Cricetulus griseus: one gene and its partners. The protein of the gene in region 1 purifies or fractionates together with the protein of each later gene. This does not show direct contact. Links are inferred from orthologs where the notes say so. Each region holds a gene or a part of one and is shown in the gene's direction. Other genes may lie near its edges.

Region 1 (5,167 bases):
ATTTTTCTTCAAGCTCAAGGTGATCGCTCGCTTTGTGGCTGGCTCGTCCGGGAGGAGGGGCTTGCACTCTAGTTATCAGCATTTCTGAACCAGCTCTCTCAAGCGCGACAGGTCAGCCAATCCCGGCAGTAAGCTTTTTTACTTGACAGGTTTGTTCTGGGCGGACAGCCATTGACTAGGTGCTCAGATAAGTCACTTGGCTGAGTCTACAGTAGGTGGGGCGCGTTCACCAGTTCAGGGGCAGTGACTGGAAGTTTGTTGCAACATCGGTAAGCCCGGGCAGCCAGCAGCAACAGGAGATACCCTTTTGCCCCGCGAGTACAGATCTACAGAGGGTCCATCTCATTAGCAAACGAGATGCGTCAGATGCCCTCAGGCCCAGCCTCTTCTCCCACGGTTGAGAACGCGCGGTGTGGGCAGACCCAGAGCAGGACTCTCGGCCTTCTGGCTCGCTCCATGGGTTGCAAGCGAAAGGGAAGCGCAGGCTGGGGACTCTCCGCGTCACCGTGCACAAACCGGCGGCGGCCAGCAGAGAGGGGTGGCCGGGGCACGTGCTTGAATGTGGGTGCTTGTGTAACCAGCTCCCCAGGCGCTTGGCCCCGACAGCGCTCCTGCGGACCGCTCGTGGGTGCCGCTCTCCGCTCCGACCGGGATGAGCAGGGGTCCGGCTGCCCCCACCTGGGGTGACCACCTAGCAGAGCAGAAGGGTCCAAGCTCTTGCCTCAGGAGCACACAGATAGGGGAATGGGAATTTGGAAAGTTCCCCAACTAGGACCACACGTGACCTCCTCCTGAAAGTAGTTCCGACCGTGGCTCGTGTATCCTTCCACCTCGCCTTTGAGCCCTCCCAGGCCTGCTCGCCCCGCCCACTCGCAGGCTGCAGCTTCCGACCCTACCATACTCCCCACCCCGGCCCAGTAACCGGCTCCCGGGCCGTGCACGGTCCGAGTGGAGCAGAACCTGGCCACAGCGATCCAGTTCTGCTGGGTTTTCAAAGCGGCCACAAACGGGAGGGGATGCTTAGCCACTTCAAGACGGAGGCTGGCTGATCCGGTGGACCCACGGCTGCGGGGAGCTGCGGGACTCGCCACCCAGCCGCAGAAGGGTGCGTGTGGGGTGCACCCTCTTCACGGAGATGCACTTCGTGTCCACCCAGGGGTGTCCTCTGGGCCCCGGATACTCAGGGGAGACGTGTAGGTACACGCCCCGTATGCACAATCATCACGCTTGGCTGGGAGCGTTCACCTTTCGAGCAAAAGATCCCAGCCGCCTGGGAAGCGAGAGGTGGGGCAGGGAACCCGAGCCCGATGAGGTGACCCACGCGGGAGACACAATAGGGGGTTGTTCTTTGTGCAAAGCCTGACACCTTGAGGACACCGTGGCGGGAGAGGTGCACCATCTAGGTAAAGGCTGTCGCTGACAAATCCTAGCGAAGCACTGCAATCTGACCACGGCGCGGGGCAGGGGACGCAAGCCGCTCCAAAGGAACCCAGGGGCGGGCGGAAGGAGGCGGGATGGGTGTCCCTGCCGCAGGGCCGTGCCCCTGAGGCTCCTGAGACACGGACCAGCACGACCAAGCTGGTCCGATCCACCGGAGAGCAGCCAGCGATCCCGCTCGGCGCAGCTCTCCGCGGCCACAGCCCGCCCTACCTTGGCCGGGTGTCTGCGAGCCGCGGCCGAAGCCGGCGCAGCTCCGGGAGACAACCGCGGTCACACTGCGCATGCTCCGCGCCGCGCGCCGCCCCGCCCCCGCCCGCCCGCGCCCCGCCCCCGGCTCCGCCCCGCCCGCCCCCCCCCCCATCCCTTCTCTCCTCCCCTCCGGCTTCGGAGGCGCCCGGCTCTCCTGGCGGGGCGGCGGAGGGGGCGGGCCGGCCGGCCGGCGCACGGTGATGTGGCGGGACTCTTTGTGCACTGCGGCAGGATACGCGCTTGGGCGTCGGGACGCGGCTGCGCTCGGCTCTCTCCTCTCGGAAGCTGCAGCCATGATGGAAGTTTGAGAGTTGAGCCGCTGTGAGGCCAGGCCCGGCGCAGGCGAGGGAGATGAGAGACGGCGGCGGCCGCGGCCCAGAGCCCCTCTCAGCGCCTGTGAGCAGCCGCGGGGGCAGCGCCCTCGGGAGCCGGCCGGGCGGCGGCGGCGGCAGCGGCGGCGGGCCTCGCCTCCTCGTCGTCTATTCTAACCGGGCAGCCTCTGAGCGGCTTCGGAGAGAGACAGACGGTGGAAGCCGCGGGCTCGGGCGGGAGCCGGCGCAGGCTCGGCGGCTGCACCTCCCGCTCCTGGAGCGGGGGGGAGAAGCGGCGGCGGCGGCCGCGGCTCCGGGGAGGGGGTCGGAGTCGCCTGTCACCATTGCCAGGGCTGGGAACGCCGGAGAGTTGCTCTCTCCCCTTCTCCTGCCTCCAACACGGCGGCGGCGGCGGCGGCACGTCCAGGGACCCGGGCCGGTGTTGAGCCTCCCGTCCGCCGCCGCCGCACCCCCCCTGGCCCGGGCTCCGGAGGCCGCCGGAGGAGGCAGCCGCTGCTGCGAGGATTATCCGTCTTCTCCCCATTCCGCTGCCTCGGCTGCCAGGCCTCTGGCTGCTGAGGAGAAGCAGGCCCAGTCGCTGCAACCATCCAGCAGCCGCCGCAGCAGCCATTACCCGGCTGCGGTCCAGGGCCAAGCGGTAGCAGAGCGAGGGGCATCAGCGACCGCCAAGTCCAGAGCCATTTCCATCCTGCAGAAGAAGCCTCGCCACCAGCAGCTTCTGCCATCTCTCTCCTCCTTTTTCTTCAGCCACAGGCTCCCAGACATGACAGCCATCATCAAAGAGATCGTTAGCAGAAACAAAAGGAGATATCAAGAGGATGGATTCGACTTAGACTTGACCTGTATCCATTTCTGCGGCTGTTCCTCTTTGCTTTTCTGTCACTCTGATAACGTGGGAGTAGACGGATGCGAAAAATTTCTGTAGTTGGGGTGACTATAACGTTTAATACTGGTCACATTTCTAGATCGTCAATTTTGTGTGTCTCTCCCGGTGTATTCAACCTAGGGAGTGTTCAGCTAGACGGAACTCATGCCTGCTTGCAAGTGTCAAGGCACGGATTGGTTTCTTGTCTAGCTCTGTGGTCTCTTCCTAAAATCTATTGTCCGTGAATGCAGAGTTTTGTACATTGGATTAACGAGCTCGTTAATCCAAGCCTTCTAAATGAACCAAATTAGACGCTGGTGAGGTTGTGCTTATTTCTATTAGATCGTGACTTAGGCCCTAGATCTAGGGTGTAGATCAGATTAAAATGAAAGTCCGTGCTGCACGAAGGCATATTACCTCAGAATCTTGCAGTGATTGTTAGTTTCCTGGGTTGCGTTGATAGATTTTTCTAAAATGTAACTTGTGGACTGATTTGCATAACTTTATAAGCATAGTCATCCTCAGAGTAGATGGTGCACTTTTGAGGGTAAAAGTAGGTTTTGTGTGTTTAAACTGGGGTAATTACTTACCACTTTGGAACTACATGTAGAAGTTCTGTAGTTTGAGATCAACAGTGCCAGAATTTGCGTTATTGGAGCTTTTAATAGAACTTTGTTAAATTAGACTTTGTACGTGGGATGAGGCATGAGCTTTGCATTTCAGCGGTATTTTACATTCATTTGGCTTTGCCATACATGATGGGATAGAAATTGAATAGTTTTTGGTCCCAGGTGATGTCCGTGTGAGTTCAAGGATATTGTGTGTGGCGAATGGTTGCAGAGGTTAAACCTCAGCTCTCACATGAAATTTAACTATTATCGTGAACAGGAATTTGCTGCTCAAAATTTTTGTGTTTCAGGTGCTCTGACCCGTTGACTGCCCATGGGTTTTACCCTGATTTGTATAGAATGTCAAGTATAATTTAACCAGCTAATGCCCAGAAATACTAGCAAGAGTGGATCACTGACTTCAGATTGTAGGTATGGTAGCTTTTTAAATGCAGTAATTTCCTGAGTCAGCTTGTTGAATAAGACAGAAACCCAAGAATTTTTAACGGTGTATAGTTCTGATTGTCTAAAAGTTAGGTCTTTGTACTTCAAAAGTTCGTGGTTATCTTAAAGCATTTATCTTTGCAGTTTCAGGTATGGTATTGGTTTTGATCAGGGATAGGAAGAGAGCCCTCCTTTTTTGGAGGAAGTATTGACAGATATTGAGAGCTTTTGGGAGGCCGGTGTGTGAAGAAAACACAAGTTGCTGCTCTGAAGTGACAGGGCTTTTGTTACGACCCCAAATTATTTTTTCATGTGACTTGTAGCAATGAGCAGAATTTAGTTAAAATTATGTAATTGCATAATTGTTAATAAGATAGTCTTAGTAAAAGTTAATTATTAGTAAATACCAGCAGACATTTCTTAAGGTAGAAGGTCAGAGACTTGTCTATACATGTCCTGATAATAATAAGAGCATTATGGAGAGGCTTTTTTTTTTTTTGTAAGAAAATGTTTTCATTTGGAAGAGGTTTGGTTTTTTTTTTTTTTTTTTGATTGCATTAGCAGCATATAAACATGCATAGCTAATTTTGACCGAGTTTTTGTTCTGAAATGAAGATGAAACTCACTGAAGAACTGGCTTTAGAAGTAGGCTAATTTTCTGTTAAGAAAATCTTTAATCTGTTAAGGTATCTTTAATTTTGAAGTTTGCATTAATTTTCAGTTTATATTTCAAAACTTTACTCTGGATGAACTTGACCTTTTCTGAAATGTAATTGTAGAAAATTCTGGGTTATCACTTGCTTCAAGGCAGTTGGTATAAATTAGTGATAGTAATCTAGATATAGAAGGAATTAGTCCGGTATCTGTTTAATTAAAAAAAATAGGCCCTCATTCAAAGAAAAATCTGAATGCCTGGTAGTCAGGCTTCTCTTACCTTCCACAGTACCCTTATGTTTTGCTGTTCCCACTTGATTTAAAATTATCAGGTGTGTCGGACTTCAAGATTGTTTTGCCAAATTTTTATGTGTGAGCAGTGACATGATTGCAGTTCCTTATTTGATTGCATAGTACATGGGCTTCTGCACGTGCCATTTCTGTGAGTTAGAGCTCTGAAACTGTACTTTTAGTATAATGTGCATAGAAAGCAGTATCAAATATTGCATCAAATGACTAATAACACTTAATTTCTAGAGCTGTGGTTTTATTGAGCCAAATGTTGAGTCTATAGG
Region 2 (4,636 bases), on another chromosome or scaffold:
ACAGGTGTGTGTGTGTGTGGGCAGATTTTGGAGCTTTGTGCTGTTTAAAATGAGTCATGTTGCTGAGTGTGCTAGTGCACACTTGCCCTAGCACTCAGGAGGCCGAGGAAGGAGGATCAGAAGTCCGAAGCCAGCCTGCGTAGAAGAAAATAAATAAAAGAATCTTGTCATTTTTCAGTGTTACTTTGGATGAAATTTACGGTCTGAATTCCACTTGAACACCTTTAGGAAGGTCATGTAGTGAGCTTGGGCTGCATCCATGTATCAGGACAGGAGCTCAGAGCTTCGGTTCCAGTGTGATGTCACTTTAGTTGTGCAGTGGAAAGGTGTTTTCTTGAAATCTCACTGCATGGCCGAGTGTTGCTGTATAAAAGTGTGAGCATCAAAGAGACGAGGTGTGGCTGTGACTGCCAGAGCAGAAATGAACAACAGCAGGGAGCCTGCGAGTCCTTGGACCCATTGTCTTGATCTCTTAACCAGTTACCAGTTTTGAATGTCTGTCTGCCCTAGTACTCTGTAAGTTTCTCAGGGACAAGGTATTGGGCCTTTGTTCCGGATTCAGTCACACCTGACATTTGGGGGTATTCATATAGGATTTGCTGGTTTAATAAGCGGATGTCTCATGTAACTGGTGAGGGCCTAGTGACCTTTGCCCTTGGCTCTGCCTTCAGGATTATTTTCGTCTTCTAGCCTGTGGTTCTGTAGAATCCACGCCACCTCTCCACATCTGTACCAAACCTGGATCAGAACTTGAGCTGTTGGTAATGCCTCATCTCCCTGTCCTCGCTTACTGGTCCATTGTCTCTTGGCCCTTTTCCTCAGCAGTTTCCTCTTCCTCTTACCACTTGTGTGGTCAGTTTTTACTGTGCCTTGACACAACCTAGAGTCACCTTGAACAGAGGCTTCTTCTAACCTCAATTGAGGGATTGCCTAGATCACATTGGCCTGTGGACATGTCTGTTGGGAATTGTCTTGATTGCTAATTGATGTAGGAGGGCTCAGCCCACTGTGGGCGGCACCATGCCTACGCTGGTGGTCCTGAACTGCGTGAGAGAGCTAGCTAAGCATAGGCTTATGAACCAGAGACAAGCCAGCAAGCAACTTTTTTTGCTGAGCCTGCCTCTAGGTTTCTTCCGTTACTGACTGACCTGGAAATGTAAGATGAAATAAGTACTCTCCTCCACGTTGCTTTTGGCCATGGTGTTTGTTGAAACAATAGAGTGAAACTAGAACATCACTTCTGAACTCGGGTGTGGCAGCCATTTCACCAGGAGCCCTCAGTGCAGTGTGGCCCCTTGATCTCTTCAGTCTGTTCTAAGTCATAGTTAGAGTGTGACCCAAGTTTTTTTGTTTTTGTTTTTTTTTCCTCCAAAATCTGTTGTTGACCTGAGGGCTCAGCCTGCTATTTTATCCTTTCATGATCTCTGGTTTTTAATTTCTCTCCTCTGTTTTTCACTATATTTTCTCCCTCTGTCTCTGCAGTCCAGGTTCCTGTGGTACACTATAGTCCATAGTCTGTCTTGTTGTTTGGAATATAATTCATTGCTCTTTTCAATTCCTCCTTGGCCATGGAGCATCAGTTGAGTAGTATCAGCCTGACAGCTTATCTGACACACCTCATCCCTCCCCTTCCCTGTGGGTGTACACACTCACACCTTTATGTTTCTGACATGAAGTTAGGATATGAGCACTGCTGTGCAGGATTTCCCTCGTCTCTGACACTACCCCACATTCACAGGAGCGATTGTGACAGCGGTGGTTAAGGGAACGACCAAAGTTAGCTAGAGGGGAAGACTCGGTCCAGCACAGTCCAGTCTCAGAAGGTTCCAAGCACAGTGCTTCTTTGTCTTCGGGAAGTTTTATGTGCTTGGCATTTCTATGACAGTACACATAGTGCTGTCAGCAGGGGACCTCACTGCAGCTTCAGAGTCCAGAGTTTGTCTTTGGGTTTGTTGTTGTTTTTGGCTATTTCTCTATTTCTTTTTGTGGTAGCATGTAGCTGCTGTATAGTTTGTTGGCAGCTGTAGTCTAGGGCCCATCATTAAAGAGAGAGACTTGCCCTTCTGCTTTGTCAGTTACTTTCCGGGAGCCTGGAGTAAAGGCCCGATCAGCCCTTTCCTGAAGCACTGGTTGTCTACATTGTCCATATTATTCTGATTGTAGTCTTCTCCAGGGCAGAGTGACAGAGTGGCCACAAGCCAGGGCTGTGTAGTCAGCTGCTGGGGTGAAAGCTCAGCTCACCGAGTTCAGACTCTGTGGCCTCAGGCCACTGTTAGCTGTCCTCACCTCCATTTGTTCCTCTGTCTGGTGGCGAGTGTGAGAGTTTTCCGAGCACTGCTCTGATGATCAGAAGTGATGATTTCTGAGAAATTATCAGCGCCACTTGACGCATGCATGCATCCGTTAGTGTGAGTTGTTGCCGTTTCTCTGTCTGTTGTTGTGCACGCCATGTGTGTCATGCAGCTGGGCAGACACGCGGCATTTACTGAAGGAGTTAATCAGCCCCCCTCCCCCCCCATGATGGGAACCCAGTGCAGTCTGCGTGTTGTTCACTTGTAGCTCTCTAGACTGACAGCTGGAGGCCTTTGCAGATGCGTGGCCGTGCTTCTCACAGCTTCCAGCTACATGAAATACCAACCATGTTTCATTTGCACTTTTCATCATAAAGACTTCATTTTTCTTTCCTGTTTCCATGCAGTGGCCAGTTTGTCAAAGCCTGGTACTTTTGCTGGCAATGATGCAATTGTAGCCTTTGCAAGAAACCATCAGTTGAATGTGGTGATCCATCAGCTTAATGCCCCTTTGTGGCAGGTAGGTCACCTGTTTAGGAATGTCCTTAAGATGATGGGGCTTGACCTGTGATGCTGAATTCCTAAGAATAGTTTGGATCATGAGCTAACCAAAGACAGGAATCTTGTGATTTGGAACTAACCCCTGTGCTGGGTGTAAATGGAGTCTGGAGTGTGAGTGAGAAATATTTTATGATCCTGGGGTATTATTCAACAGTCAGCTAAGTGGGTGATTTGGGGACAGAAACTAATGTGGAACTGCTTCAGATAGTCTTATTAAACTATCTTAGTATATCGATGTTTAGTACACACAATTTGTAGTTTTGAAGTATGCCCGTTCTCCAGCAGTTCCTATGTGTGTGTTTTTAATTAGGAGTAGAGAAGTGTCATAAAATCCTTGATAGTGACTATGTTCACCATAATGACTAAAAAGGGTTTTTCCAACAGTAGAGTGCTTTATTTTTTAGTTTTTATTCAGCTTTATTTCTGCATTTTGCTTTTTTCTACAATATTTTTTGTTTGCTTGTTTGTTTTTGGTGGGGGAGGTTCAAGACAGGGTTTCTTTGTGGCTTTGGAGGCTGTCCTGGAACTAGCTCTTGTAAACCAGGCTGGTCTCGAACTCACAGAGATCCACCTGCCCCTGCCTCCTGAGTGCTGGAATTACAGGCGTGCGCCACTAATGCCCAGCTACAATAAAAATTTTATAGCAAATGTTTGCTCCAGACTGAGACAGTTGTGAAGCCAGACAGTCCTCCCTGAAGTATCTGCCCATTCAACTCCTTCTCTCTGTCTCCTACATTAACCTCATCTGTTGGTCCATCAAACCAAATGTCCTAGAGCACAGGTGATCAGAGGCCGCTGACTGAGTGCACACCCTGCTCCCTTGTTCGTTCTCTCAGAATTCAGAGGGCTTTGTGTGACTCTGGCTCAGCTCCACACACTGGACATTTGCTTTCACTGACCCTTTGCTCTGTGTCACCATCTTGAACTTTTTTTGTTTAGAAAGTTAAAACCTTTTAATTGAAGAACATCTGGGAAATTGAGAAAAGCCCCCAGAGGCGGGTGAGGGCCACCAGAGTCACACTGACTGGAATTAGGACTGTTAATTTTTTTTTTTCCCAAGAAATTTTTTTTTTTATTAGTTTAAATTAGAAACAAGCCTGCTTCACATGTCAATCCCTTCTCCCTCCCCTCCTCTCCCACCTCCCATGACTGTTAACATTTTTAGTGTGTGTCCTTCCATTCACCCACACTTGGGCATATGATTGGGGGTACATATCACATGTTTTTACAATACATTTTAAACACATGTATGCGAATTCACACACACACACACACACACACACACACACACAAACACCTACCTTCGTATGCATGCATTACTTAAAGGTAATGACATCTTTTCTTCGAGTGCTGCCTGCACGCACCCCTTTGTAATTCCCTAAGTTGTGGCCTGCCCACTTTTTAGAAATATAAATTATACATGCCAGAAATTCACCCTTTTCTGGCTTACATCTATGTTTTGATGTACGTATAACACCACCACCAACATATGGAATAGCTCCACTTTACCAAGAAGTTAGTGCCTGCCCTGGGCCACACTACCCACTCATCTCCTTCCCAACCTCTGGTAGCTACTGTTTTCATTTCTTTCTTTTTAGTTGTACTTTTCTGTCTCATAAATGGAAGTCTTCAGCCTTTTGTATCTGTTAGTGTCCTTTGAACAGAGTTATATAGGACAAAGTGAAGTAGATGATGGCGGGGCTGGTGAGAGCATCTGCCCAAGGATGTGGTGAGCAGGAAGGAAACAGGATCCATCTCCTTGTCCAGTGTGGCTAGATGGCAGG
Region 3 (5,110 bases), on another chromosome or scaffold:
TTGCAACAGCCCTGAACCTAGCCCCACCACCATCTGGCCGCAGAGGTCACCTTCTCAAGGTGAAGTCGCCTTCCTGGGGTGTCCCCAGCCAGGTCCCTGAACTGACACACTGGATTAATCCTTAAGTGAAGAGACAAGGGTATGTGTCCACCTAGAGATGGATTTCATTCTGATACTACAGGCATGAACCACCTTGCCCAGTACCCTTAAGTTGCCCCTGTGTATTTCTGTCTGTCACCCTTGGTTTCTACACTTTCAAAGCTGAAGGGCTAGCTCAAAAGCCAAGTCATTCTAGAACTCCTAAAATAGTTTCTTTTTAAATCCTTAAACAACATCCTACATTTGCTCAAGTACGGTGTGGTCTACACGACTTAACAATTGTACAACTTGAAAAACAAAACACTCCCCCTGTTGCAAGAATCTCCAGTAAGTCAGGTTTCCAAAATGAACCTGTAATGGAGGTCAGCCAATGTATGCGGGGCATTCAGTCTCATCGTAGAGAAAGGGAAGCAAGTGTACATCCTGCATGGGGCTTGCACAAAGCACTAAGAGGTGCCAAATGAACTGCACTTCCTGGTAGGGGCGGGATGGGACCAGGTGAGGATGAGCCTCTCTCCTTCATTAAAAACTTAGGAGGGGCCAGTGAGAGGGCTCAGCAGGTAAAGGTGCTTGCTGCACCCCCGACGATCTGAGTTCCATCTCCGGCCGCTCTGTGGTGAGGAAAGAACAGACTCCAGCAAGCAGTCTTCTCTGCCCTTCCACATGCTCTTAGCACAGGTTAGATGCACACACAAGACATAAATGTAAACCAAACAAATGTAAAAAACCAAAATGAAATTATACAATCTAAATAACCCATTAAAAACGTATTGGAGATGTCAGCCTTGTTCTACCAAGAGTGCAGCGGGCCTTTTATTATTTGTGAGTTTGTGTGTGTGAGTGCAGGGCCTGTGCAGGCCAAAAGAGGCCATCGGATTCCCCTGGAACTGGAGTTTCAGGCAGTTGTGAGTCTCCCCTTATGGGAGCTGGGAACCAAACCTGGGTCTTCTGCAAAAGCAGCAACATCTCTTGACCCTTGAGCTGCCTCTGCAGCTCCCAGCTGGGCCTTTAAAAATAGTGTCGTGAAAAAAACAAAACTCTTGTGACCCCACACAGGGTGACCAGGCCTTGGGGAGAGGGGCAGGCCTGGGATGACCTGGAATGGAGTACTAGCAGGCCAGGGGTGAAAAGAGGGGGGTGTCACAGTAAGGGGCAAGAAAGGGGAACGGCGCACAAGAAAAGTGATGTAAAACATCCTCCAAAGATGGCAAGTAGTAAGATTACAAACACGTGTGGGCAACCTTGCCAGGCTTTTATTTATTTTAGAGAGAGAGAGGGAGAAGGGGGATGGGGGGAGAAGATGTTCTAGCCTAGCCTCTCTGTGTGTGTGTGTGTGTGTGTGAGAGAGAGAGAGAGAGAGAGAGAGGAGAGAGAGAGACGGACGGACGGACAGACAGACGACAGAGAGACAGAGAGAGAGAGAGAGAGAGAGAGAGAGAGAGAGAGAGAGAGACAGAGGAGACACGTTCCAGCCTAGCCGCTGTGTGCGCGTGCGCGCGCTTGTCCTAGCCTGGCCTCGAACTCGCGCCCCTTCTCGTGCGCGGGTCTCAGAGAGCGCCCAATGCGTCCGGCGCCCGCAGGGGATCGTACCATTGGCTGAGGGGAGACGCTCGGCCAGCGTCGCCCTGGTAACCTCCGCGTGCCCATCTTCCCCGGATGCGCCCGGCCGGATGTGACGCAGCCCGAGGCGGAAGCGGGGGGGGCGTGCGGCGCGCATGCGTGCTGGCGGGCCGCTCTGCGAGTGTGAAGGGCCGGGCGCGGGTTGCGGCGGAGCTGAGAGGCCGAAGCTTCGCGTGGGTGGAGGAGGCGCGGCTGCAGGTCAGCGCCCGGAGCGGCGCGGCGCGGCGCGGCTGTCACCCGCTGCCCCGGGAGGGGCCCTGGCGGGCGGGCCGGGGCGGCCGCGGTGCATGCCGGGCCAAGCTCCGCTCGGCACGCTCGGGCTGTGGCCGGCGAGCATTTACTGGAAGGCCTCGGCTGGAGTCGTGGGGCAGGGAAAGCACGCGCGAGCGGCCTGGGCTTCGAGAAAGGAATCCCCTTCCCCCTCAGCGAGAGCGGTGTGGCCGGAGGCTGGCCTGGCCCCACAGGTTTCAGCACGGTTTCTGGGAACCACACACGAAAAACCCTCCAGAATTTACAAGTTTGCAGACTGTGCATTTCCTCTGTGGCCCGTGAAAGTCAGTTGTGGTGTTTAATCACGGTAGTTTAAGAAAGTCCGCCTCTCCTAAATCAGTGTGACAGGCATGCAGGGCCCTCCCTTATGTGGCATGCCTCTGTAAGAAACTGGGCTTAGAAAAGGCAGGGTGAGGGAAGCTCCAAACGCTGCTAACACGCTAGCAATCCCTGCGGTATGTTTTTAGGAGCGTGTTTGCTGTATGAGGTTTAGCCTGCATCTGTATATGCGCAGTGCCCGCGGAGGCCAGAAGAGGGGCCCAGACCCCCTGGAACTGGAGTTGCAGACAGCTGTGAGCTGCCATGTGGGTGCTGGGAACAAAACCTGGGTCCTCTGCTCCTTACCGTAGTCCATCCCGCCAGGCCAGCTACCCTGTTTCCGTCTCAGAATTAACGACCAGAACGCCACTATGTAAACCAGTATTAACCTAAACGGCTTGCTTTAATTTATCCCAACCTGTTCCCTGGAAGATATTTACACGGTTCGGGTGGTTATTCATTGGCAACTTTTTTTTTTTTTTTTCTCGAGACAGGGTTTCTCTGTGTCTCTTTGGAGGCTGTCCTGGAACTCGCTCTGGAGACCAAGCTGGTCTCGAACTCACAGAGCTCCACCTGCCTCTGCCTCCCAAGTGTTGGGATTAATGGTGTGCACCACCACTGCCTGGCTACACTGGCAACTTTTTAAAGAATTTTTTTTTCCTTTTTTAGATCTTTAAGAATTAGAAATGGCTTCCAAAAGAGCTCTGGTTATCCTGGCCAAAGGTGCAGAGGAGATGGAGACGGTGATTCCCGTGGATGTCATGCGACGAGCTGGGGTGAGTTCCCCTCGTGGGCTGGCCCTCCCTGTTTTACTTGTTGGTTGTGTGTAAGCCTGCATCCTGTGGTTCAGGTGTGCAAGTCAGAGGGGAAATTGTATGAGTTGGTTCTCTCCTCCACCCTGGGATTAAGCTAAAGTCTCCTCAGCCTTTCGCTGCTGAGCCATCTTGCCTGTCGTACTTCATGAGATATTTCAAGTACAAAACTCCAGAGATTACATAATAAAACACTGGTGTTGTTCACTGCTCACCTTTTTTTGGCTTTTGAGATAGGGTTCCACCCTCTAGACCAAGCTGACCTGGAACTTACTGTGTAGCTCAAGGTGGCTTTGAATTCTTGGCAGTTCTCTTGCCTCAGCTTCCCAAATGTCTGGATCACTGCTGACTTGTGACACTTTGCCTTATTTCTTTCAGACCCTTTTCTAATTAATTAATTGATTAATTAATTTATTCAAGGGATGGGTGTGTGGGTTTCCCAGCTAGCCCTATACCCCTGGGCTCAAGCTGTTCTGCCTCAGCTCCCAAGTAGTTGGGATAACAGGCATGGGCCAACACTTCTGGCCTGGACACCTTTTGTTGGTTTGTTCTTGGTTTTTAAAGTAAATGCTGTGAAGTAGGGGCTTTTCCTGCTTCCCCTTTGTGGAGTCTCCTCAGGCATGTGTCCATTCCTCCTTCCCCAGAATGTCCCATGCATTAGCCTGTGCTTCACATCCTGTGCTTACATGGAGCGTGTCTCTTCTATAACACTGTGAACAGGGAACGCGCTTGTGTCTGCCAGGTTCACTCTGAGCATTTACACAAACCTGACAGCAATGCTGACTCAGCTGTGCTGATTTACTGTTTGAGCAGAATGCAGGCCCGGGCAGTTTACACTCGGCTCTCAAGATGAAACTCCAGTTCCCGCATTTCATGTTGCTGTACAGCACTCTACACAGTACAGATGCCACTGCCTCCCCCCCTCCCGTCACAGCCCTGTGACACTGGAGTAAATAGTTAAGATTTTAACCTTTTCTGTGGATGAATGTCTTTCTGCATGTGTATCTGTGCACTACTGTGTCTGGTACGGGAAGAGACCAGAAGAGCGTGCCTGATCCCCTGGAACTAGAGTTAAGTGGCTGTGAGCTGCCATGTGTGTGCTGGGAACCAAATCCAGGTGCACTTAACCACTGAGGCACCTCTCCAGCCTCTGTAATAAATACTCTTGTGGGTTTTATTTGTGCAAATGTGAGGACAGTTTCAGACTCTGCACCTAAAACTGTGATTACTGGGCAAGCACTGTTAGGATCAACATCTCTGGATTTTGATAGCTTGTCTTCAGTGAGCTAACCTGCTGGCCTCAGCACTGTAGGAAACGCCTGTGTTTTGGGTACTAGCTAATGGTAATGTCTTGCTACTAAATGTTTTGCAGGATAAAGTATTTTTTTGGTTTTTTTTTTTTGGGGGGGGGGTTGTTTTGTTTTTTCGTGACAGGGTTTCTCTGTGTAGCTTTGGAGCCTGTCCTGGCACTTGCTCTGGAGACCAAGCTGGCCTACAGAGATCCACCTGCCTCTGCCTCCCAATAAAGTATTCTTTAATTGTTTGACTTTCATGTCTACTTTGGAAAAAACTATGAGGTTTAAATGACAACGGTAACCTTGCAAGATGGGCTATTAAAAGGGTGACTCTGTAATTCATCTCCGAACTCAACATTTGTAGCGTAGAGGGTGTTCTAGCCAGTCAGAACTGCGGTAGCAGCTCAGCTACAAATTAGTACTGTCCTTGGACAAACCATAAGATTCCTGCTATTTAATATATCTGGCCATTGCCTCTGCTTGGTTTTGTGGTAATCTCTGACAAGTTACTTAAAACCACCGAATGGGTATTAAGTGTCGCCCTGTGTCTGTATATTTCCATGTTCTTGAACATCTGCTCTTTCTCCAGATTAAAGTCACTATTGCAGGCCTGGCTGGGAAAGACCCCGTGCAGTGTAGCCGTGATGTAATGATTTGTCCTGACACCAGTCTTGAAGATGCAAAAAAGCAGGTTTG
Region 4 (4,511 bases), on another chromosome or scaffold:
ATACCATGTTTGTCTTTTGTGACTGGGTTACTTCACTCAGGATGGTTTCCTCTAGTTCCATCATTTGCCTGCTAATTTCAAGATTCCATTGCTTTTTTCTGCTGAGTAGTACTCCATTGTATAAATGTACCACATTTTCTCAATCCATTCTTCAGTTTAGGGGCATCTAGGTTGCTTCCAGGTTCTGGCTATTACAAACAATGCTACTATGAACATGGGTGAACATATATATGTCCTTGTTGTATGAACCTGCACTATTTGGGTATATACCCAAGAGAGGAATGGCTGGATCTTGAGGTAGACTGATTCCCATTTTTCTGAGCAACTGCCATACTGATTTCCAAAGTGGTCTTACAAGTTCGCACTCCCGCCAGCAATGGAGGAGTGTTCCTTTTTCGCCACATCCTCTCTTGCATAGATTGTCATTGGTGTTTTTGATTTTAGCCATTCTGACAGGTGTGAGGTGGTATCTCAGAGTTGTTCTGAGTTGCATTTCTCTGATGGCCAATGATTTTGAGCACTTTCTTAAGTGTCTTTCAGCCATTTCAGATTCCTCTGTTGAGAATTCCCTATTTAGTTCTGCACCCCACTTTTTAATTTCATTGTTTGGTGTTTTGGTGGCTAGCTTCTTGAGCTCCTTATATATTTTGGAAATCAGTCCTCTGTCAGATGTGGGATCGGTGAAGATCTTTTCCCATTTTGTGGGTGGTTGTTTTGTCCTACTGACTGTTTTCTTTGCCTTACAGAAGCTTCTCAGTTTCAGGAGGTCCCATTTATTAATTGCAGACCTCAATGTCTGTGCTACTGGCGTAAAGTTCAGGAAGCGGTCTCCTGTGCCAATTTGTTCAAGGGTAATTCCTAATTTCTCTTCTAGAAGATTCAGAGTGGCTGGATTTATGGTGAGATCTTTGATCCATTTGCACTTAAGTTTTGTGCATGGTGACAGGTATGGATCTATCTGCAATTTTCTGCATGTCCGAATCCAATTGTACCAGCACCATTTGTTGAAGATGCTATCTTTTTTCCATTGTATAGATTTAGCACCTTTGTCAAAATAAGGCATTCGTATGTGCGTGGGTCAATATCAGGGTTTTCAATTCGATTCCATTGGTCTATCTGTCTATTTTTGTGCCAATACCAAGCCGTTTTCAGAACTATGGCTCTATAGTAGAGCTTGAAGTCGGGGATGGTGATACCTCCAGAAGATCCTTTATTGTAAAGAGTTGTTTTGGCTATCCTGGGTTTTTTATTTTTCCATATAAAGTTGAGTATTGTTCTTTCAATGTCTGTGAAAAACTTTGTTGGAATTTTGATGGGGATTGTGTTGAATCTGTAGATTGCTTTTGGCAGGATTGCCATTTTTACTATGTTAATTCTACCTATCCAAGAGCATGGGAGATCTTTCCATTTTCTGGTATCTTCTTTAATTTCTTTCTTTAAATTCTCAAAGTTCTTATTGTACAGGTCTTTCACTTTTTTGGTTAGTGTTACCCCAAGATATTTTATGTGGCTTTTGGATATTGTGAAAGGTGATGTTTCCCTGATTTCTTTCTCATTGGATTTATCATCTGTATATAATAAGGCTACTGATTTTTTTGAGTTAATTTTGTATCCTGCTAACTTGCTGAAGGTGTTTTTCAGCCGTAGGAGTTCCCTGGTAGAGTTTTTCGGGTCACTAATGTAGACTATCATGTCTGCAAATAGTGAAAGTTTGACTTCATCCTTTCCAATTTGTATTCCTTTGATCTTCTTTTCTTGTCTTATTGCTCTAGCCAGAACTTCAAGTACAATATTGAAGAGATATGGAGAGAGTGGACAGCCTTGTCTTGTTCCTGATTTTAGAGGAAACGCTTTGAATTTCTCTCCACTTAGTTTGATGTTGGCTATTGGTTTGGTGTATATTGCGTTTATCATGTTTAGATATGTTCCTGTTATTCCTGTTCTCTCCAAGATCTTTATCATGAAGGGATGTTGGGTTTTGTCAAAGGCTTTTTCAGCATCTAGCTTTCATGCTTTGAACTGTTTCAAGAGCTTCCTTCACTTGTTTGGATGTCTTTTCTTGGGTTTCTTTAGATTCTTTAAGAGATTTGTTTATTTCTTGAATTTTTTGGTTTGTCTTTTCCTCCATTTCGCATAATTTTTTGTTTGCTTTTTCTTCTATTTCTTTAAGGGATTTTCTTGTTTCCTCTTTAAAGGTCTCTATCATCTTGCCGAGATAATTTTTGAGGTCCATCTCTTCTTCATGCTCTGTGTTGGGCTTTTCAGATCTTGCTGGAGTGGAGTCCCTAGATTCTGGTCGTCTGAGAGATTTGTTGATATCTTGTATTTTTTGGTTTGTTTTTTCTTCCATTTCTTTAAGGGATTTTTCTCATGTCCTCTTTGAGGTTCTCTATCATTTTCCTGAAGATGTTTTTAAGGTCATTCTCTTTTGCTTCATCTGCATTGTGATGTTCAGGTCTTGCTGGTGTATGATTCCTAGTCTCCGGTGGTGTCATATTGGGTTTTCTGTTGTTGGATGTGCTTTTACCTTGTCCTCTTCTCATCCTTTCTTCTCGTGGGTGTAGCAGGAGTCTCTTGCTCTCCTGGTGGTTATGGGGCTAAGGTTCCCTTCTGGTAGATGGGATATCCAATACTCTTATGACTGTCCTTTTCTCGTGGATGGAGTTGGAACTGCCACTGGGGCCTCTGGAGGGTCTGGTGTGTCGGATTCCGCCACCGAGTTCTGATCTGGGCCAGTGGATGGAGGCAGAATTGCCACGGGGGCTTAGCTGTATGGGATCCCACCACCAAATTTGGATCCGGTGCACGCTGAGCAGTGACATGTTTTTTACTTTTTGATTTCCTTTTACATTTCTACCACAGTTCTCCCTCCCACCCCTCCTCCAACCCCCTCACTTTTTCCCATCTCCCCTCAACTCTCCCACCCCCCCCCCCCAGTCCATTCTTCCTCATGGGTAAAGGCTCCTATGAGGAGTCAATATAGTCTGGCACAATAAGGTTAGGGGCAGGCCCCCTCTCCCATGCATTAAGACTAGGCATGGCATCCCACCATAGGGAGTGGGCTTCAACAAGCTAGCTCATGTATTGGGATTATATCATGCTCCTACTGCCACTGAGCATGACATTTCACCCTAAGGAATAGGCTCCAATAAGCTAGCTCATGTACCAGGTTTGTATCATGGTCCTCCTGCCAGGGGCCCCTCAGAAAGTCCAAGCTAACAACCGTCTCCCACATATGGAAGGCCTAGTTCGGTTCCCTGGAGTCTCCACAGTTGTAGGTCTAGAGTTCATGAGTTTCCAAGAGCTTTGTTCAGCTGTCTCTATAGATTTATGTTAACCCTTTGATGTTCACAGAAGCTGTTTGAACATAGGTGTTGGCTCATTTTTACAGAAAGGAAATGGAGGCTTAGAGAGCTTAAGTAGTCCAAAGTCATGTAATTTATGAGCCAGGCAGAATAGGACCTTTACCATCCCAGCTCCAGAGTCAGTCATCTTCACCCTGTGTAATAGAACTTCCTATATGTACGTATGGTCTAAATGGCTCTTAGAAAAATGCTTATTCACTAAACACTACTATTGCAGTAGGGTTTCCCATGTGTAACCCAGCTGGACTTCCAGTTTGTGACCCTCCTTAGTTCCCTACGTGCTGAGATGACTGTCACAGGCTGGTATACATGTTTAGCTTGTGATTGCTTTATATTTGTATTATTGTTTTCCCCCTAGATCTTATAAGACCACGAGATACATACCAGTTTTTCGTGGAGCAACATGGTTTGAAAGTTTTTAAAACATTGGATACAGCATTTTTTTCTACTGGAAAATTGGTTTTAGGACCCTATGAAGAAAAAGGAAAGCAGCATGTTGGCCAAGATATATTGGTGAGTATATTTCTCCATTTCTGCTTTTCTAGAAGTACAACTGATTCTTTTTCTCAGATGATGCATTAAAATTCTATTTACTTGGTAGTGACATCTTATTGTTTATTACATAAAGAAATCTTTTCCTTTATTAAATGTGTTTCAGTTAACCAGTCAGTAATTATTTAAAAATACCTGTACTGGGCATAGCACAACCTTAGGTTCAGTGGTTTATGGTGTCATTGTTTCTTAAGAGAATCTTAGAATATAGATTTGCTAATAAAATTGAATTTTAGAGCTGAAGATTATGGAGGTTATGTCTTGTGAACTTCTGTAATCATATGGTTGAGGATCAGAATAGTTAAAAAATGACTTAACTAGTTAAGAGTGCCCTTCAGACAAAGGGCTAGCTGCTCCATTCAGTACCAATAGGCTATTGTACTTGACAGGGTCTGAAGTTACAATGAGATTTATGATGAGTTGGTATGTCTCACTCTTTTCCTTCCTCTCTCCCTTCTTCCTTTCTTCCCTTCCTCCTTTCTTCCTAGCCCTTTGTCTCAGTATCTGCTGTATACACATGTCTGCTGTGCATGTTCTTGAGTGGTAATAACTTTCCTTATCTCTGGTTCATCATTCCTGTTGACAAGTGTGTTA
Region 5 (4,636 bases), about 170 Mb from region 1:
CAGACTTGTGATAGGGTGTTAATTAGGTTTACATATTAGCTTGAAAAGATAAGATGGCCTTGTCTACAGTAACATCTCAGAAAGTATAGCTAATAGAAATGTTACCAGTTCTGCAGTGAGCTGCAATGTATCTGACTGGAAAGGGCAGGTTCAGTAATGGCTTAGTACAATTGGCAAAACAAACAGCTCTAGAAGCAAGCTGCTCTTTAATGTGCTAGTGTCCAGCTCCGGTTGTCTGGGTCCTTTAGGGCTTTTTTGTTTCTGCTTTGCATGTAGTGCGTACATGTTTGCACCTGCTATGGTCTGTTCTTTGCCATGTGTTACTTCTTGCTTGTCAGTAGCCTTGTTTCTTGCTCACATCTGCCTTGGTGTTGGGTTGTATTCGATCTCAGCCCACTTATTGTTACTTGGATCCTTTTCTCCATTCTCTGCTCTCTTCCTAAGTCCGGCTTTAATTTTGCTGAAAATGCTTCCAGAGTCTTATTGCCTGCTCTCACAGTTAGTTGTCAGGACCACTTAAAGGCTCTTTTCTCTAAAGCCTGTTAAGTTCTTTTTCCATAGAGCAGTGGTTCTCCACTTGTGGATTATGACCCTTAGGGGTCACATCAGATAAACTGCTTAATAGATATTTATGTTTCAATTCCTAACAGTAGCAAAATTAGTTATGAAGTATCAGTGAAATAATTTTGAGGATGGGGTCACCACAACATGAGGAACTGTATGAAAGGGTCACAACGTTAGCAGGTTGAGAACCACTGCCACAGAGCAGTGATAATGAATCTGCCTCCCTTTAAGACTGCTCAGGAGTAGGTGGCAGGGACCACATTAATTTCTGAATGTCTATCATTGCCTAGTATCCATTTAAAATGCTGTGACCCTTTAGTGAATGCTTGACACAGATGCTTCCTTCTCCTCTGCCTCCCAGCAGGTGACCTCATGTCCCCTATCATGCTTTGCACTTTATCTACTGCCCTTTCTAGGAAGTTGCTGAACTTTGAATCAATGTGTCCTTGCTGTCCATCAAGTTAAATCTTGAAATTCTACTGCTCTCTGCATAGTTTCCATGGAAAGAGAGCACAGTGTTGGGATTAAAGGTGTCACCACACCCTACTGGAACAGTATGTTCATAAACTTTGCACATTCTTGTGCTGACCAGTCAGCTTCCCACCAAGCCACATCTGAATTCCTTTTGCCCTTCTTTTGCATTGTTAATCTTTGGTAACTCACATTGGTCTTGTCAGTAAATGTAATTGTAAACTCATGAGCAGGAACCTTGTCTTCCCTGCTTGGGAAATCTCTAACACCCAATGGAAGGCTATGTACTTGATGGAACTTAAAGGCTTGTGCCACCAATGCCCCGGCGACCTTGGATTCTTAATCCCACTTCTACCACCACGGTACTACAATCACATGCCCCACTAATTTTTTAATTAATTTCTACCCTCTGAAAGTCTTTCTTAGTTACCCAGATAACCACAGGTACAGGGCTTCTATTTTTCATACCCCCAATTTACTTTTTTTTAATGTCATTTTCAGCAGATTTGATAGACATAAAGCCTGTCATACCTGTTTCAGAAAAGGTGTTGCCTCTCAAAAGAGTCTGAATGGCTTTGATACTACATAGCTTGTACCCTGTGTTCAGAATGGATGGACATTGACTGACTGTTTCTTCTCAGCAGGACAAGAACATCAGAAGATTGAATTTGGTGTTGAAGAAGTCATCAAACCAAGTGATAGTTTGCCGAGAACCACTACCTACAGTATTTCAAGCACCTTGAATCCTCAGGCACCTGAGTTTATTCTTGGTTGCACAACTTCCAAAAAGACCTCTGATGGTGTAGAAAAAGATGAGAACTACAGCTCCGTTGACCAGTACCCAGGCTCAGCCCTGGCCCTGGAAAACAGCTCTAACATAGAGGCAGAAGCCTTGGAGAATGATGGTGGTACTGGTGGTCTTGGTCAAAGGGAGCGTAAAAAGAAGAAGAAGCGCCCCCCTGGGTACTACAGTTACCTGAAAGATGGTAGTGATGAGGGGGTTTCCCCAGCTGCCATGGTCAACGGCCATGCCAGTTCAGCAGTCACGAACAGCGTGGGTGTGGAGGATGCTGAGTTCATGGTTGATATGCTTCCTTCAGTTACGCCCAGGACTTGTGACAGCCCTCAGAATCCCATGGATTTCATCAGTGACCCTGTGCCTGACAGTTCTTTCCCTAGAACACTAGGTGGTGATGGCAGGACTGCAGGGCTGCTTGAGGGCTGTCGTGGAACTGACTTTGAGCAACCCTGCCTCCCTGCAGATAGCCTTCTAAGGACAGCTGTGACGCAACCCTACGTTGGCACCAATACTACTGAGAATCTTGCAGTTGCTAATGGAAAAATACTTGAATCCTTGGGCGAGGACACTGCTGCTAATGGGGTAGCGTTGCACACTGAGGAAAACACAGACTTGGACCCTGCAAAGCCTGAGAGCCAGTCACCTCCTGCCGACAATGTGCTCTCTGTGTCTGGGGCCATTCCCATTAGCCAGCCTGCAAAGTCTTGGGCTAGTCTATTTCATGATTCTAAGCCCTCTTCCTCCTCGCCTATGGCATATGTGGAAACTAAGTGTTCCCCCCCTGTCCCATCTCCCCTAGCCTCTGAAAAGCAGGTGGAAGTCAAAGAAGGGCTTGTTCCAGTTTCAGAGGATCCTGTAGCCATAAAGATTGCAGGTACAGTTAAACAGACAGGCCGACTGTAGATGGGATTAGGTTTTAGGGACACATTGTGTAGTGTATTGGTAACCACAGTGGTGATAGCTGACCTGTGTAGTAACAGGAAGTAAAGGACATGTATGCATTAGTATTATCCAGTTGTAAAACAGTATTACATATAAGAAAGATTGAAGGAAAGGGTGTGCCATTCCAAGTGGAAAACCTTTTTTTCTTCTTTTTTCTTTTCTTCTTTCTTTATTTTTTTTTTTAAACAAATTCTTATTAACAAACTCCATTTCCATTTCTTAGTGCTGTAGTGTTGGAATGTGTGACAAATGTGTCGTGGGTTGCAACTAGGGAATACTTAGGTGTGATGGTTCTCAGTTTGTACTCTTTCTATAACAGTATAGAAAAAGGCATTTAAGAAAATAATGCAGCCCTCCTCCCTACCCTTAGTGACTTTCTTTCTGTTGAGGGATAGATTTTATTCAACACTGTAGCACTAAGCTCAAGGTAGGAAGACACAGGAGCTGGATGCTGAGGTGCAGGTCTTGCGGTCCCCAGCACTGGAGACTGCTGCAGTGTGCTGTGCCCTTGGAGTGCTCAGAGTCCCAGTAGACAGTAAGGCGTATCCTTGATGGTCTGGCTTTGAAATACCACAATTGTGGCTGTTGGTGGAAACACACCTGTAATTCCAGCACTCAGGAGGCTGAGGCAGGGGGAGTGGCAGTTTAAAGCCAGCCTGTCTTCAGTAGCAAGATCCTATCTCAAGAGAAGCCAAAACAAAGATGAGAACATTTATTCCCTATGTGAGAATGTTATTCTGAGTCTTATCTTATCTCTTCAAATGAGAAAATTGATAGAATTTTTAATTTATTGTTTTGGGCTTCAAATTATAGCCCAGGCTGGTTTGAACTTGCTTTTTAGGCTAGGCTGTCTTCAAAGTGCCTCTTCTTCCACTTCTGAGTGCTGGGATCACAAGTTGTACTCCTGAACTCCACTGGGATAATTTATCTTTTTTTTTTTAATTTTAAGTTTTATGTATATGGTATGGGTGTTTTGCCTTCGTGTATGTCTAGGCACCACTTGTGTATTTGTGCCAGTGGATGCCAGAAATGTGAATGCTGGGAATCAAATCCAGGTCCTTTGGACTAGTAGCCAGTGCTAATAACTGCTGAGCGATCTCTCCAACCCTTTTTGATGATAGTTTAAAGTCATTTTCTTCTTTCCTTTTTATTTTAATACAAAAAATTGATAAAAGATTTACTCATTTTATGCGTGGGTGCTGGGAATTGAACCCATTCTACTAGACCAGCAAGTACACTTAGCCCCTGAGCCATCTCTCCAGCTCATTTTTCTTTTTCTTTGTAGCACAAAGCTTTTCACAGATTCTAAGGTCATCTTGTTAGTCTCCCAAGTGCAGGGATTCTATCTGCATATCTGTGTGCCCTGCCTGTTTTTCCCTGAATGTATTTGTTTGCAGGACTGGGGAGATGCCTCAGTAGATAAGAACACTTGTTATGCGACCATGAAGATCTGAATTTGAGTCTCCGGCATCCCTGTAAAAAAAAGCCAGATATGGCCCTTGTACTTCTAACTCTCCACCATTCTGGGACTTGTTGGCTAGCAATCTAGTGTATCTAGCAGGTGGATCTCTTTGAATTCTAGGCCAGCCAGGGAAAAAAATCTTTATAAAAGTTCTAATCAGAGGTCTGACAGGTAGAGAGACAGTCATGCTTCCATTTATGCCATTCTAAATGCATATTGCCTTGGATGGGTTTTTTGTTGTTGTTGTTGTTGTTTTGTTTTTTTGAGACGGGGTTTCTATGTATAGCCCTGGTGTCCTGGAACATTTTCTGTAGACTAGGTTGGCCTGAGATCCTCCTGCCTCTGCCTCCCAAGTGGTAGGATTTAAAGGCGTGCATCACCACCACTCTCCAGCCATA
Region 6 (5,252 bases), on another chromosome or scaffold:
GTGTATCAACATGCCCAGTATACTTTTCCCGACTAAGAAAGTCCCAGGAAGCTGCTCAGGAGCTGACATTGCTGGGGACCAGCCAAAGGAAAGCTCATGCATAGGAGTGACTCTTGGTCTGCTTCAGACTTGGTCTGCTTCAGAGGCCATGCCTCTGTCCCCATTCCTCTTCCAACCTGAAAGGAGCCTGGGTTTAGGGACCCTGCTATTCATGGAACCCTTCGTTTTCCTGTTCATGAAATGTGTAGACTAGATTTTGCCCGTTTAGAGGTCAGGAAAGCTGTCGCTTAAGAGCTAGGGAACGCAGGGCCTGGTATGTGTTTACTCTGGAGCTGCATGTCCAGCTTCGAGAACACCTAGGCCCCTTTTATTGAGAGAGGGTATGGTGAGTCTTAAGTTCATAGTTTTAGATTTTGATTCAATGCAGCACACTGGGGTCTTTTTAGCAATCTCTATATTCACTGATTTTTCTACAGGCTTCTCTCCCGATACAATTGAGAGGATAAAGACAGCAGGGTCAGGTGAACTGAAGCGGACAGAGGCAAAGGAAAATGGGAAGGCAACCACTGCTAAACAATGAAAGCACATTGGGGAAGATGGGCTGCATGCACGCACTAGGAAGGAAGGTGTGGGCGGTGGCGTCGGAGACCTTGGCCAGAGCCGGCAAAGAAAGGAGAGGAACATTTACAGAGCACGGAGTGGCCATTCTCTCCTGGTGGGCTCATCAGCCCAACTCGCTTCCAGAGGCGGCCTTGGAAAATGGCAAGGCTAGACGGACAGGCGAGGCCTGGACAGACAGCCCAGTGGGAAGGCAGGGCGGAGGTACTAGCGCAATTTGGTTCTGGCACCTGGAACTGGGCCAACCCGTGACTAGCATCTTCACGCAGCTGCCTAGAGCTCCCGCTAATCTGATAAGATGGAGATCTCCCTCTCCCTAGGTCCAAAGAGCTGCAGGAGGCAAGAGTGCTAGAAAAAGGGAAACCAGCTTGAGAAGCAGCTTGCAGTGCTCGCAAAGGGAGGGCGCACGGCCCCGTGCGCCTTGTCCGTGGGCCACCTCGGAGGCTGGGGGGTGGGGAGTGTCCCACCCATCAGTGTGGGGTCCCCGGTCTGTTCACAGAAAGGTGTCCGCAGTCACTCACCCCCGCAGATCACGTGCCCTGCGACCGATCCAGGTCAGCCATCCCTCTCTCTGGGCGCCATCCCGCGTTCCACCCCCGCCCCCCCCCGCAGCAATGTGGGGCTCCCAGGGCCGGGGTCGTCTAACCATAGCGCACAGTAGGAGCATTGGGGGGGGGGACACAGTTCGGCATTAAGAGCCGGGCAGTAGGTAGCGCCTAGCCGAGCGGCTGCCCCCGCCGCAGCGGGGGGAGGTGGAGCCTCGGGGGGAGGGGTTGAGACCGCCGAGACAGCCCTAGAAACTGCTGGAAGAAATCGCAGTACCGCCGGCGTTGCTCCTTCCGCCGCGCGCCGCCAAAGAGTCCCTGGCAGCCCAGGCCCGCGCCCCTCCCGCCCGAGCAGCTGCTCGCCGCCTGCAGCTGCGGCCCCGTTCCGGAGGGTGGGCATCGGGACCCCCTCCAGCTGGACAGCGAATGTCCCACTGTCCTGCTCTCTCCATGTAGGGAACACTCTGGGAGGTGGGCTCAGAGAACGGCAGCCGAGTTAGCCATCTCGGTGCTCTTGCGAGTCGGGGGTGGAGGCGCCTGCCTCGAGGTTTCTGGGGGAGTCGGCGGGATATCCGCGCGTGGACACATCCCTAGCAGCATAAGCGCACCCCGTGGCCCTCATCTTGCCATGGCCTTGTCCTGGTCGTGCAGGAGAGGCCTCGGCTCGCCGCACAGGCCCCGGGTCGCCCCCCCTCCCGCCCCCAGTTGCTACCATGACGTCAAGGTGGGCGGGCGGCGGCAGGTGCGGGCGGCGGCCCCGCCCCCTGAGGCGGAGGGATCCAAGGGCGGGGCCGAGCTGTGCTTCGCCTTATATAGGGCGGTCGGGGGCGTCTGGGAGCTCTCTTGAGTCACCCCCGCGCACACTAACCTCCGCGTGCGAGTCGGTCGCGCTCCGAGCCCACCCGGCCCTGTACTACTACTCGGCTTTCCTGTCAAGGTAAGGCCGCGGCCTCCGGCCCTGCGGCTTCCCGGGGCTCGTTCCCCGGGCTCTCCCCCCCCATTCGCATCCGTCCTAGAAGGTCCCCGCCCAGCCGGGCGGCCTGTGGGCTGGTGTACCCCGAGCTGCTTGCGTCTGGCCCCGCGGGGTGGCTCGGCGAGGCTCCTTGGGGCCCCGGGTTGGGGCCCCGGCGCGTGAGGTGGGGGCGCGGCCCAGCTGTGTGCAAGGCAGCCGCACGTGGTAGGCGCCGACCTGGGACGCTGCCATGTTTGCCCTCCACTTCCGGGCGCAGCTGCAGGGTCCGAAGGGGCCGCGCGGTGGCGGGCTCCGCGGCGTGACTCAGCACGGCCCTGTGAGGCTGGCCTGGCCGCCTCCTTTGGACGCCTTTCCCAACGTGGTTGGGGTTCTTGGGCGTGGGGGTCGTCCACGGGGTGGCAGGGACGCTTGAGCGCACTGCCATTTGCCTTTCCAGATCTTTCCTGCGCTCCGGGGAAGGAGGAGGAGGAACCCGGAGGGGGCTGGCACGGGAAGATCCATTGGTCCCTCCCCTACCCCTCCCCTACTCCTCCCCGCCCTGGAGCTCAGATTGTTCTGGAAGCTCCTGGTGCCCCGCCCCAGTGCCCGGATGCTGGGGCAGTGGGAGGGTTGCGGTGGCGCCCCCTCCCCGATGGCTGCCGCCGACGCGTGTCCGGCAGTGACGAGGGTCGCTGGAAGGCTCGGGCCACCATTTTACTTGTGTTCAGGGCTATGCAAGTCTGCGCAGTGAGAGAGGTCATGGTGGAGCTTTTACCTCTTTGTCCTGGTTTAATTGCTCCTTGAGTGCCTCCATGACTGCAGCCTCGGGTTCCCTGCTCCTGCTAGGATGGAGCGGCACATAGAAATGGCTGCTGTTTCTGTTAGTTTCTTTTTTGCCCAAATAAAGTTGTAAAGGGTTTCCTGTATATGTTCACCGGGTAGCTAACGAATTATCATTTCTTGAATTTTAACAAGGTATGTTGTCGGGTTGAGCCTGTTTGAGCTGTAGTATACCGTTTTGGCTGCGTTTGTTTGAAGAACCATCCATCCTTTGAGTTTTTTCCGTTTTCGGTTTACCAGCTTACTGTAGCTTTTCAAGGTCTTTTTAAAAATGGCGGTTCTCATCCCTTGGGAATGGATACTACTCAGCTTAAAGCATTTTGAATTGGAGTTTAAAGTGCATCCATCGTTTTAGTAATTAATGTGTAATGCTTTCTTAGATGCCTGAGGAGGTGCACCATGGCGAGGAAGAGGTGGAGACCTTTGCCTTCCAGGCAGAAATCGCCCAGCTCATGTCCTTGATCATAAATACTTTCTACTCAAACAAGGAGATTTTCCTTCGAGAATTGATCTCCAATGCTTCTGATGTGAGTATCACAGCTTCATAGAAGCCCAGTGAGGGATTGAGAGGAGTCTGCCGTGGGTTGAGAGCCAAGACAATGTTTGCAGAAATGGAATAATGTGGCTGTGTGTTTATTTACAGGCCTTGGACAAGATTCGCTATGAGAGCCTGACAGACCCTTCCAAATTGGACAGCGGCAAAGAGCTGAAGATTGACATCATCCCCAACCCTCAGGAGCGCACGCTGACTTTGGTGGACACGGGCATTGGCATGACCAAAGCTGATCTCATAAATAACTTGGGAACCATTGCTAAGTCTGGCACAAAGGCTTTCATGGAGGCTCTCCAGGTGTGTGGCCCTATATCCACAACATTCTCAATACTGCTTTTGACTTGTTAATTTTTCAGTACTTGTTTTCACTAGTGATATGGTAGGCTTTTAACCTATGGAGATCAGAGGATTACTGGCCAGTAGGTCCCAGGGATTGAACTACTTGATAGTTACACTTGAGTTCAGCAAGCACTTGTGCAGAACCATTTTACTTACCTCTTAACTTTTAAAATCCTTTGGCAGGCTGGTGCAGACATATCCATGATTGGGCAGTTTGGTGTTGGATTCTACTCTGCCTATCTCGTGGCAGAGAAAGTGGTTGTGATCACAAAGCACAATGATGACGAGCAGTATGCTTGGGAGTCCTCTGCTGGTGGATCCTTCACAGTGCGTGCAGACCATGGTAAGCTGCCTGTCCTCGTTTGGATGCTTGGTAGAATTCTCTGGAGGATAGAAAGTCCAAAGTCTTGATCATGCACTGTTTAATCTCAGCACTTTGGAGGCAGAGGCAGATGGATCTCTTGTTTTAGGACAGCCTGGGCTACATAGAAGCCCTGTGTCAAAATGGGGAGCAGGGGGTTGAGTATTTTGGTTGTAGTTTTTTTGTTTGTTTTTTTTTTCTTCATTGTGGTTTTTTGAGACAGGGTTTTTCCTGTGGCTTTGGAGGCTGTCCTGGAACTAGCTCTTGTAGACCAGGCTGGTCTTGAACTCAGAGATCCTCCTGCCAGGATTAAAGGCGTGCACCACCCCACCGCCCAGCTTAGTTGTAGTTTTCTATGTCTTGATTCTATCATTCACTTTTTTATAGGTGAGCCCATTGGCCGGGGTACCAAAGTCATCCTTCATCTCAAAGAAGACCAGACAGAGTACTTAGAGGAGAGGAGGGTCAAGGAAGTGGTGAAGAAACACTCGCAGTTCATAGGCTATCCCATCACCCTCTATGTGAGTATGGACTTGGCAGTATTTGAGCAGTCTTTGCTGGTGATAAGTTCTCCACAACTCATTATCCAATTTGGTAATTTAGTTGGAGAAGGAACGAGAGAAGGAGATCAGTGATGATGAGGCAGAAGAAGAGAAGGGTGAGAAAGAGGAAGAAGATAAGGATGATGAGGAAAAGCCAAAGATTGAAGATGTGGGATCAGATGAGGAAGATGACAGTGGCAAAGATAAGAAAAAGAAAACAAAGAAGATTAAGGAAAAATACATTGATCAGGAAGAGTTGAATAAGACTAAGCCCATTTGGACCAGAAACCCTGATGACATCACTCAAGAAGAATATGGTGAATTCTATAAGAGCCTCACCAATGATTGGGAGGACCACTTGGCAGTCAAGGTGAGAAACCTTACATGGTATGTTAATTGGAGGGGTACATAGAATGTGCTGGAGGTGGTACCAAGCAGCTTGTTCAACTGGACATCATGACTGTCTCTGGGAACTACTCAGGCCTTGCTTGGCAGTGGTTTA

The links.
Region 2: the proteins of Pten (region 1) and Otud3 purify together in Homo sapiens (affinity purification with western blotting; 3 studies listed by BioGRID and IntAct, with this or other methods). This does not show direct contact. The link is inferred for Cricetulus griseus from reciprocal best matches to the Homo sapiens genes PTEN and OTUD3.
Region 3: the proteins of Pten (region 1) and Park7 purify together in Homo sapiens (affinity purification with western blotting; 4 studies listed by BioGRID, with this or other methods). This does not show direct contact. The link is inferred for Cricetulus griseus from reciprocal best matches to the Homo sapiens genes PTEN and PARK7.
Region 4: the proteins of Pten (region 1) and Cenpc purify together in Homo sapiens (affinity purification with western blotting; 3 studies listed by BioGRID, with this or other methods). This does not show direct contact. The link is inferred for Cricetulus griseus from reciprocal best matches to the Homo sapiens genes PTEN and CENPC.
Region 5: the proteins of Pten (region 1) and Usp10 purify together in Homo sapiens (affinity purification with western blotting; 4 studies listed by BioGRID, with this or other methods). This does not show direct contact. The link is inferred for Cricetulus griseus from reciprocal best matches to the Homo sapiens genes PTEN and USP10.
Region 6: the proteins of Pten (region 1) and heat shock protein HSP 90-beta purify together in Homo sapiens (affinity purification with mass spectrometry; 3 studies listed by BioGRID and IntAct, with this or other methods). This does not show direct contact. The link is inferred for Cricetulus griseus from reciprocal best matches to the Homo sapiens genes PTEN and HSP90AB1.

The regions. Positions count from the first base shown.
Region 1 is NC_048596.1:28,806,950-28,812,116, reverse strand, and holds the start of Pten (phosphatidylinositol 3,4,5-trisphosphate 3-phosphatase and dual-specificity protein phosphatase PTEN), read left to right. Parts: upstream 1-1,922; 5' UTR 1,923-2,040; coding exon 2,041-2,863; intron 2,864-2,963; exon of another isoform or gene 2,964-3,879; coding exon of another isoform or gene 3,880-3,926; intron 3,927-5,167. UniProt on the Homo sapiens protein: Dual-specificity protein phosphatase, dephosphorylating tyrosine-, serine- and threonine-phosphorylated proteins.
Region 2 is NC_048595.1:14,397,393-14,402,028, forward strand, and holds part of Otud3 (OTU domain-containing protein 3), read left to right. Parts: intron 1-2,698; coding exon 2,699-2,811; intron 2,812-4,636.
Region 3 is NC_048595.1:5,483,227-5,488,336, forward strand, and holds the start of Park7 (Parkinson disease protein 7), read left to right. Parts: upstream 1-1,763; 5' UTR 1,764-1,917; intron 1,918-2,032; exon of another isoform or gene 2,033-2,273; intron 2,274-2,976; 5' UTR 2,977-2,993; coding exon 2,994-3,083; intron 3,084-5,003; coding exon 5,004-5,105; intron 5,106-5,110. UniProt on the Homo sapiens protein: Multifunctional protein with controversial molecular function which plays an important role in cell protection against oxidative stress and cell death acting as oxidative stress sensor and redox-sensitive chaperone and protease.
Region 4 is NW_023276807.1:151,258,830-151,263,340, reverse strand, and holds part of Cenpc (centromere protein C), read left to right. Parts: intron 1-3,723; coding exon 3,724-3,878; intron 3,879-4,511. UniProt on the Homo sapiens protein: Component of the CENPA-NAC (nucleosome-associated) complex, a complex that plays a central role in assembly of kinetochore proteins, mitotic progression and chromosome segregation.
Region 5 is NC_048596.1:196,581,755-196,586,390, forward strand, and holds part of Usp10 (ubiquitin carboxyl-terminal hydrolase 10), read left to right. Parts: intron 1-1,676; coding exon 1,677-2,708; intron 2,709-4,636. UniProt on the Homo sapiens protein: Hydrolase that can remove conjugated ubiquitin from target proteins such as p53/TP53, RPS2/us5, RPS3/us3, RPS10/eS10, BECN1, SNX3 and CFTR.
Region 6 is NW_023276807.1:31,888,200-31,893,451, reverse strand, and holds the start of heat shock protein HSP 90-beta, read left to right. Parts: upstream 1-1,961; 5' UTR 1,962-2,100; intron 2,101-3,335; coding exon 3,336-3,482; intron 3,483-3,598; coding exon 3,599-3,805; intron 3,806-4,030; coding exon 4,031-4,190; intron 4,191-4,595; coding exon 4,596-4,729; intron 4,730-4,811; coding exon 4,812-5,120; intron 5,121-5,252. UniProt on the Homo sapiens protein: Molecular chaperone that promotes the maturation, structural maintenance and proper regulation of specific target proteins involved for instance in cell cycle control and signal transduction. Undergoes a functional cycle linked to its ATPase activity.